Danio rerio: one gene and its partner. The protein of the gene in region 1 interacts with the protein of each later gene in a biochemical or structural test. Links are inferred from orthologs where the notes say so. Each region holds a gene or a part of one and is shown on either strand. Other genes may lie near its edges.

Region 1 (4,108 bases):
ATAATAATAAGTAATAATACATATAATAACACTATTAACATTAATAAGTACAATGATAATAATCATATTATTATTAATAATAATAAGTAATAAAACATAAATAATAATAATATTAATAATATTAAGTTCTAACACTTATAGGTAACAATAATATTAACATTAATAATAATAATAATAAGTACTAATACAGATAAGTAATAATAATGATAATAAAAAATAACACTTAGAAGTAATAATAATATTAAGATCAATGATGATAATAATAATAAAAATAATATGTAATACATATAAATAATAATAATATTAATAATATTAGGTTATAGCACTTTTAGATAATAATATTAACATTATTAATACTATTATTATTAGTTTAATACTTATATATATAAGTAATAATAATGATGATAATATTAATAAGTAATAATACTATTAACATATAATAATTATTATAATGATAAGTAATAATAATAATAATTATTATAATTTTTGGCGACGCAATGACACAGTAGGTAGTGCTGTCGCCTCACAGCAAGAAGGTCGCTGGTTCGAGCCTCGGCTGGGTCAGTTGGCATTTCTGTGTGGAGTTTGCATGTTCTCTCCGCATTCACAAGGGTTTCCTCCGGGTGCGGTTTCCCCCACTGTCCAAAGACATGCGGTACAGGTAAATTGGGTAGGCTAAAATTGTACGTAGTGTAAGAGTGTGAATGAGTGTAAATGGATGGTTTCCAGAGATGGGTTGCAGCTGGAAGGGCTGCATAAAACATATGCTTGATAAGTTACCAGTTCATTCCGCTGTGGCAACCCCAGATTAATAAAGGGACTAAGCCAAAAAGAAAATGAATGAATGAATTATAAATTTCAGAACAGAGTATAAATAAATAATAATTAAAATTAGGTTATCATAAGCTATCATCATCTTCATAAAACAAAATTTATTAAATTTATTAATTAGTTTAATAAATAAATAAATAAATAAATAAATAAATAAATAAATAAAAACATCCCAAAGGGAACCATTTCGCGTCATTTTAGCTGTAGTCAATTTTTCTGCCTTTGAACCTGAACGTTATTCTCCGACGACGAGTGAGTCAGTTCCACACAAACACACACAGAAAAACAACGAGCGCAACTCATTCCTCCATATACATGCATTCAAATAACCGTTCACCTCACGAAGCAGCAAACACAACAACAACTCTACCTAAACCACATGATCAGTGCTAATTAGTAACCACGAGATTCTCAAAAAAGCATCCTCACAGCACTGATACACTATAAAGAAAGCCTTGATCAGTGTAAGGATGTTGTCAGGCGGTCAATAACGCGTGTGAGTGAGTGAAGGATTGATTGATGTGTCCTGCTGGTCTCCTCCCCTCAGACGCGCGCATCATCCAGCGCGTCTCCAGAGCGCGTCTTCAGTCCGCATCCGAGCGTCATTCAGCGCAGCATCTCGGGCATTCGTTCTGTAGGAATATACGGTCACTCGCTGTTGCTTTTTCTGCTCCGGCTCTGCGCGTCTCCAGACTCCGGGTTTTTTTCGGGGGTCGTTAAATCTGGAGGTGAGGACCCGGGGATGAGCTTCGGCATGACGGGCTGCGGGTTCGGTTGGGCGGTGATGCTGCTCGCGCTCTGGAGGCCCGCGACCGCTTGTCCGGAGCTCTGCACGTGCACGGGTTTGCGGATCTCCTGCGTGGACGCGGAGCGCAGTATTATGGCTTTCCCCAAGCTGGAGTCCGAGGCGGACATGGAGAACGTCACTGACATGTAAGTCATGCTGGGGGTCATATACACTGAAACAAAAGCGATACATTGGATTTACTCCGGTTTTTTAACCGCGGTAAAGTTTGACATTCATTAGAAATTCGATTTCAAACCAATTAAATTATTTGCCCCTGCTATAGTTTGAGCCAAAAATATCTCAGATAGGTATAATTATGTGTCCTTTATGTTGCACAAGGCTTAATCGATAAAAAAGACCAATTAAACAATTCAACGAAATTATACAATAAAACCAGTAGCAAAATGTTCAGAAAAACACCCTGCTTATTGCACAAGACTCTGTTTTTTGCAATTAGCACTTTATTTATTTTATTATATTTTTAAAATAACTTTTAATGTAAAAATGGTAAAAGTTTTGTTTTTCACAGTTATGCCTTTGTTGATTTTATATACAGTACTGAATCCATATTTTCAGTAATTCGGATACACTGTAAACACTTAAATGAATTAAACACTGACACCATTTGAGATAAAAATATACAAATCAACTCTAAAATTGTCTAAATATTATTCCCTATGATGCACAAGCTTTGTTCTTTATTGTTATGCCTTTGTTGATTTTATATACAGTACTGAATCCATATTTTCAGTTATTCGGATACACTGTAAACACTTAAATGAATTAAACACTGACACAATTTGAGATTAAAAACACAAATCAACTCTAAAATTATCTAAATATTATTCCCTATGATACACAAGCTTTGTTCTTTATTGTTATGCCTTTGTTGATTTTATATACAGCACTGGATCCATATTTTCAGTAATTTGGATACACTGTAAACACTTAAATAAATTAAACGCTGACACCATTTGATATAAAAAAAACAAATCAACTCTAAAATGATCTAAATATTATCCTCTAGGATGCACAAGCTTTGCTTTTTACTGTTATGCCTTTGTTGATTTTATATACAGTACTGAATCCCTATATTCATTATATCGCTACACTGTAAATGATTAATCAAGACTAATAGTTTATAGCTTTGCTACTGTAAACGCATTTAATGAATAGTAATAGTTTATAGCTATGCTACTGTAAACGTATTTATTGAAGACTGATAGTTTATAGCTATGCTACTGTAAACGTATTTATTGAAGACTAATAGTTTATAGCTATGCTACTGTAAACGTATTTATTGTAGACTTATAGTTTATAGTTATGCTACTGTAAACGTATTTATTAAAGACTGATAGTTTATAGCTATGCTACTGTAAACATATTTATTAAAGACTAATAGTTTATAGCTATGCTACTGTAAGCGTATTTATTGTAGACTAATAGTTTATAGCTATGCTACTGTAAACGTATTTATTGAAGACTAATAGTTCATAGCTATGCTACTGTAAACGTATTTATTAAAGACTAATAGTTTATAGCTATGCTACTGTAAACGTATTAAAGACTGATAGTTTATAGCTATGCTACTGTAAACGTATTTATTAAAGACTGATAGTTTATAGCTATGCTACTGTAAACGTATTTATTAAAGACTGATAGTTTATAGCTATGCTACTGTAAACGTATTTATTAAAGACTGATAGTTTATAGCTATGCTACTGTAAACGTATTTATTGTAGACTAATAGTTTATAGCTATGCTGCTGTAAACGTAATTAATGAAGACTAATAGTTTATAGTTATGCTACTGTAAACGTATTTATTGAAGACTAATAGTTTATAGCTATGCTACTGTAAACATATTTATTGTAGACTAATAGTTTATAGCTATGCTACTGTAAACGTAATTAATGAAGACTAATAGTTTATAGCTATGCTACTGTAAACATATTTATTGTAGACTAATAGTTTATAGCTATGCTACTGTAAACGTAATTAATGAAGACTAATAGTTTATAGCCATTGCCTTTTATTGTGGTTCCAGCTGATTGGTGTGTCTACAGTTTTGCACCAGTGTGCCTGCACATCTGATGGCTGTGCTTAACCAATTGGCATCAGTCTTTGCTTTGAAATTGCAAGGAAATTTCATCATGAAAAATTTCTGTGTCAAATGCAAACAAGCGTGTTTAGTGATTTGCAATCTAAGCTGATCTAGCCTTGTGCTTTGCTCCTTGAGTGTACGGTTTTGGTTGTTGTGGCAAAAGTTAAACTTTAGTGTGTAAGCAATCATAAAAAAACTGTAAAATATGCAACAAAAGCTAATTTTACTTTCAAACAACACAACTTGCAAACAAGTATATGAGCTCTTTTAATCAATAGACAACAAAATGCAGAACTCAGTGTGAATCAGTGCATCTTTGCTTGTCCTTGTAGCCCATGCCGTTTGTTGTCTTTCTATTTGGGCTGTCAAATTTGCCTTTTTGCAAAG
Region 2 (4,328 bases), on another chromosome or scaffold:
ATTCATCAGCGAAAGGCTCCTTTAAAACGCTGACTGTCCTAATTTCGTCTCAGTCTTGCACGGCTTTTCTTCAGTTTTCTCCACAATACGCGTGACACCCTCTCAGCCATTTCCTTATCAGGCAATCTTATCGGTGGCTCCATCTAACCCAGTCTGAACAAAATCTGACCACGCCTATCCAAATTCTTATTCACTTTAACTGGAAATATATATGAACACACACACGCACACACACACACATTGTTTTGGCCATCGGGCTATTTTTGGCGAGGCAATTCAAAATACTTTAACATGATATGTTATCTGTGGCGAAAGCTTTTAGCTCTAAGTGGTTCCCAACTGTTCGGCGTGTGCACAGACAGACCTGTGCGCTGGGGAGCGAGATGAGCAGGTGATGCTGGAGGAGAGGAGTGGAAATCTCGGGATGAATGAAACGGAGAAGCGGTCCGTAGTAAAAACACTAGCAATATGTCCACGATGACGAAGTGCGGAGATGCTACAGACGCGATTAGTTTGATAAGGCTGGTTGCACCACTTTAGGATCGATTCAACGAATAAATTATCCCTCCATGCTAACGAAAACAACATTTTAGCTGATCAGAAAGGATGACGAGAATGACAGCTAAACCGATAGATAGATAGATAGATAGATAGATAGATAGATAGATAGATAGATAGATAGATAGATAGATAGATAGATAGATAGATAGATAGATAGATAGATAGATAGATAGATAAGGATCTTTTCGATCTCAGCAAGACAATAAGTAGGAGGTAGCTCGTGCTGAGTCGTATATTTTATTAAAGACATGCCCCATTATTCAGCAAGCAAAGAAAAGCGTGCGCTAGACAATTGCGCATTAAATACAACAAGAATTCCGCAAGCATTTGATTATGATGAGGACGGAAAGTGAGCTTTTACGCACTTGCATGTACTATTTATTTGTGTTGCTTTAAAATGACAACTCATATTAAATATGTGCTAAATGTGGCAACTGTAGATATAGAAAAAAGCATTAGTCCGTTTCTGTGAATTTGTGACAGAGCTGTGACTGGTAATTGAAACAACTTTCTGACCGTTTTCTGCTATAGTCATGGTGTAAAAGCATACGGACAAAGTAGAAGGAACATGTAAAATGATAACGTAAGTTTAACATTTCCCTCATGACTCACGTCTTCTCTCTCCCATCACAACCCAAAGCTTTTCCTCACAGCGTTACATTTTCTCTGTCCGTAGAGTTAAAATGCAAAAAGAGGATCAATTTCGCTATGTACAGATAGATAAACATCTGCCCGAGAAGGGGCTGCTAGTAAAGTGGAGAATAAAACAAACAGGTCTTACCTTTATAAGAGCTGACAACCACTATCAGTGGTTAGATCTCCAAGACCAACACTTGCATTTCCCAAAGTTAACGCTGTGCACCAAGTGGAGATTGCAAAGTACGAGTACACTAGCAGCTCTACGATTTCAACTTTCACATGCTCTAAGTGGCGACAAAACTCCAAGCGCAAAGTAAGCAGCCCCGCTATCGACTGATGCTTTTCCTCGCGTTTGTTTGTTTGTTTTGTTTTCTCACGGGTCTCCCTCCGAGAGCAAAAAAGAAGGAAAAAGTGAAACAATCCCTAGCTTTGGCAAAACACAAAAGGCGAAGTCCACTCACTCCGTGTTAGTCCGCAGCGTTCAACGACTCCCGGTGCCTCTGTCCAAAGTGCTGAAATCATAGCACAGCTAAGGTTACTTAGAGGCAAAAATCTATACTTTCGTTAAGTGCCACTTGATATTGCTTTACTCTATTGCTTCCCCACGCCTTGTCACGTGAATATATCCTTGGCAAGCCCGTCCTGTTAATATTTGATCACATGTTGGCCGGTCGTTTTCTTAACAAAAGAATCACTTATCTGAAAAGTCGCTCATAACCCTCTAAAGAGGGGTCCCCCAAAAGGCTTGCAACCCGTGTCCCCAAATCACACAGTAATAGCGCCTTGGTGCTCTGCTTTTGTCCTGCAGGGCAGATGGACATGTCTACACATGTTGCCTTTTTCACTGAGCACTTGTAAAAACGACATTTAGTATAAAGGCTAAAAGCCCAACAGGCATCAAAGCGCAGATTGGCACACAGAGCAACAAAGGCAAAACCAATTAGAATGTATATTCTCTACGGCTGCGTTTGCTTTACTCGGATTTTCCCCCTCTATCTACGAATCCCAGAAAACAGCAGCATTACAAAGTTTTACATTCACGTTAGCAAAGCCGAACCCTCGATTAAGTAGCCTTCAGCGTTTGGGTCCATAAGCACGAGAGCACTCGTATATGTCGTGCATCATCAAAATCTGTTCTTCTGAAAGCAACCCTTCAGTCAGTGTAAACACAAGCCATGCCTTTTGGAGTAATTATTCCTTTAAGTGTAGTATTTCCATGCAACTTACCATTTTCCCCTATGCTGTCCTGGAGATAGAAGTGTCTTAATATCCACACACTCCAACAGATGCTGGTAGGTAATGTGTCTTGTTTGAAGTCATCATATGAGAACTTCTGCCGTGCTCAGAAGATCGCCCACCACTTGGGTGACTTATGAATCTAATAACCCTTTGCAATATCCTCGTGCTTAAACTCTCTTACACCTTGGCGACTGTGCCGAGAGGACAAATAGAAACCAGTCGCGATTTACCCAAAACCCCTATACAGATTTACGCAGTGCCCTCGCTCAGAGAAACGCCGTTAGTGCTCTTACGTGATTGAAATAAGCGAAGGCGGTCAAGTTTAGGTGGGAACTAAACTGACCAGCAACTACCCCGAGACGCTGGCTGAAAATGAATGACCATTAGAAAAGTTGCGCATCCAAGACAGCAATGTGCACTTTTTTTTCGCGCGTCTCTGCGTGCATTGCGCGTGATATGTCAACATTACGCGAAGCCTACAGTTCACGACATTTTCAATCTGGCTGTTTTCCCAGCTGAGGGAGATCAGGTAAGATTTCACAATCTTATTTTCTGCCAAGTAGGACTAAGTTCTCGGGAGACTTGTTGCTGCTGCTGCAAAGCTGTGCTATTGAAAGCCAAACAGAGGAAAAACATTGTTTTAAGTACCATACTTACATCTGTGCAATACAGTTTTGAGCTTCGTTATGTGTGTACTATAGCAAATGGAAAAAAAAGCTGAATCCTCCTCAGTCTTGAGGCACGATGTCAACTTAAATAAATGACAACGTTATTTTCCCCCGTACGCCTTTATCTTGACCTAAAGTAGGGAATGGAAGTCACGAAATCCAAGTACGACCGTTTCTGTTATCAGTAAAATTCCATCAGAGCACGAACACTAATCTAATTGTTATGCAGTGACGAGGCGCTATGCTTGGATGTGTTCAAATGTGCTGAAAAGTAACATGAGTAATTGGTGGTATTTACCCGCATATGAGCCAAGATTCGTTCGAGCCCGATAGTTGTAAAAGACATGAAACGCTATTGTATTTATAACTCACAGCAACAGTAAACAGTATGCTTGGACCACAGACGACACGCACAGCAAACGAACTGGAAGCAAAGAAAAGGAGAAAAAGTTTAAAAGATCAGTCAACAGACCTGTTTCTCAGATAAACCTCTCCTCTGGTCAGCATCAACAGACATTGTGTTCCCATAAGTCTAAGTTCATTCATTCATTCATTCATTCATTCATTCATTCATTCATTCATTCATTCATTCATTCATTCATTCATTCATTCATTCATTCATTCATTCATTCATTCATTGTTCCATTGATTATTGCCCTAAACAATGAACATAGCAAACAAAATCTGACTGACTTGGATCTTATAGTGGGATTAATTAATCCCTTCATATTAGGCAGGGCATTAATTCAAACAGATTGGCTCTTTTTCTTGTCTTAGTTTTTCTCGTCATGGCTTTGCTTTTGTTTAAGAAAGACTGATTACACACAACTGCATTTCTCATGTCTGCCTGTCTTTCTAGAATATATTCCAAGTTTAAGAAGTAATTCCCCTAGTTTTCCCAAAAGTTTTAAAAATCACTTTTAATGTAATTTCTGTGTCTTTACGTACAGAATAAGTTATGATGATATGGACAGCTGTTTCTTTACTAAAGCTGAAACAAAACAATACAATACTGTTTTGGTGACATAAAGTACCTTGGGCAATATATTCTGTTAAATATGTATTTATTCATTTGTTTTTATTTATTTATAAAAATTTTGTACATTTGTGACTGAGCTTCCCGCCTCACATTCATCCCTGCGTAACTCGTTTTGCTCTTGCAGGTCTTGCTGCACTGCAGACAAACATGTACTAGTTGTCCATGATCGCATGTGGATCAAC

What was found. The genes of interacting proteins can lie anywhere in the genome.
Region 2: the proteins of ntrk2a (region 1) and bdnf form a complex in vitro, tested with the Homo sapiens proteins (3 studies listed by BioGRID). The link is inferred for Danio rerio from reciprocal best matches to the Homo sapiens genes NTRK2 and BDNF.

Annotation. Positions count from the first base shown.
Region 1 is NC_133183.1:59,551,766-59,555,873, forward strand, and holds the start of ntrk2a (BDNF/NT-3 growth factors receptor precursor), read left to right. Parts: upstream 1-1,303; 5' UTR 1,304-1,573; coding exon 1,574-1,764; intron 1,765-4,108. UniProt on the Homo sapiens protein: Receptor tyrosine kinase involved in the development and the maturation of the central and the peripheral nervous systems through regulation of neuron survival, proliferation, migration, differentiation, and synapse formation and plasticity.
Region 2 is NC_133182.1:31,986,207-31,990,534, forward strand, and holds the start of bdnf (brain-derived neurotrophic factor isoform 1 precursor), read right to left. Parts: upstream 2,814-4,328; 5' UTR 2,431-2,813; coding exon 2,428-2,430; intron 1,713-2,427; exon of another isoform or gene 1,343-1,712; intron 772-1,342; exon of another isoform or gene 365-771; intron 156-364; exon of another isoform or gene 1-155. UniProt on the Homo sapiens protein: Important signaling molecule that activates signaling cascades downstream of NTRK2. During development, promotes the survival and differentiation of selected neuronal populations of the peripheral and central nervous systems.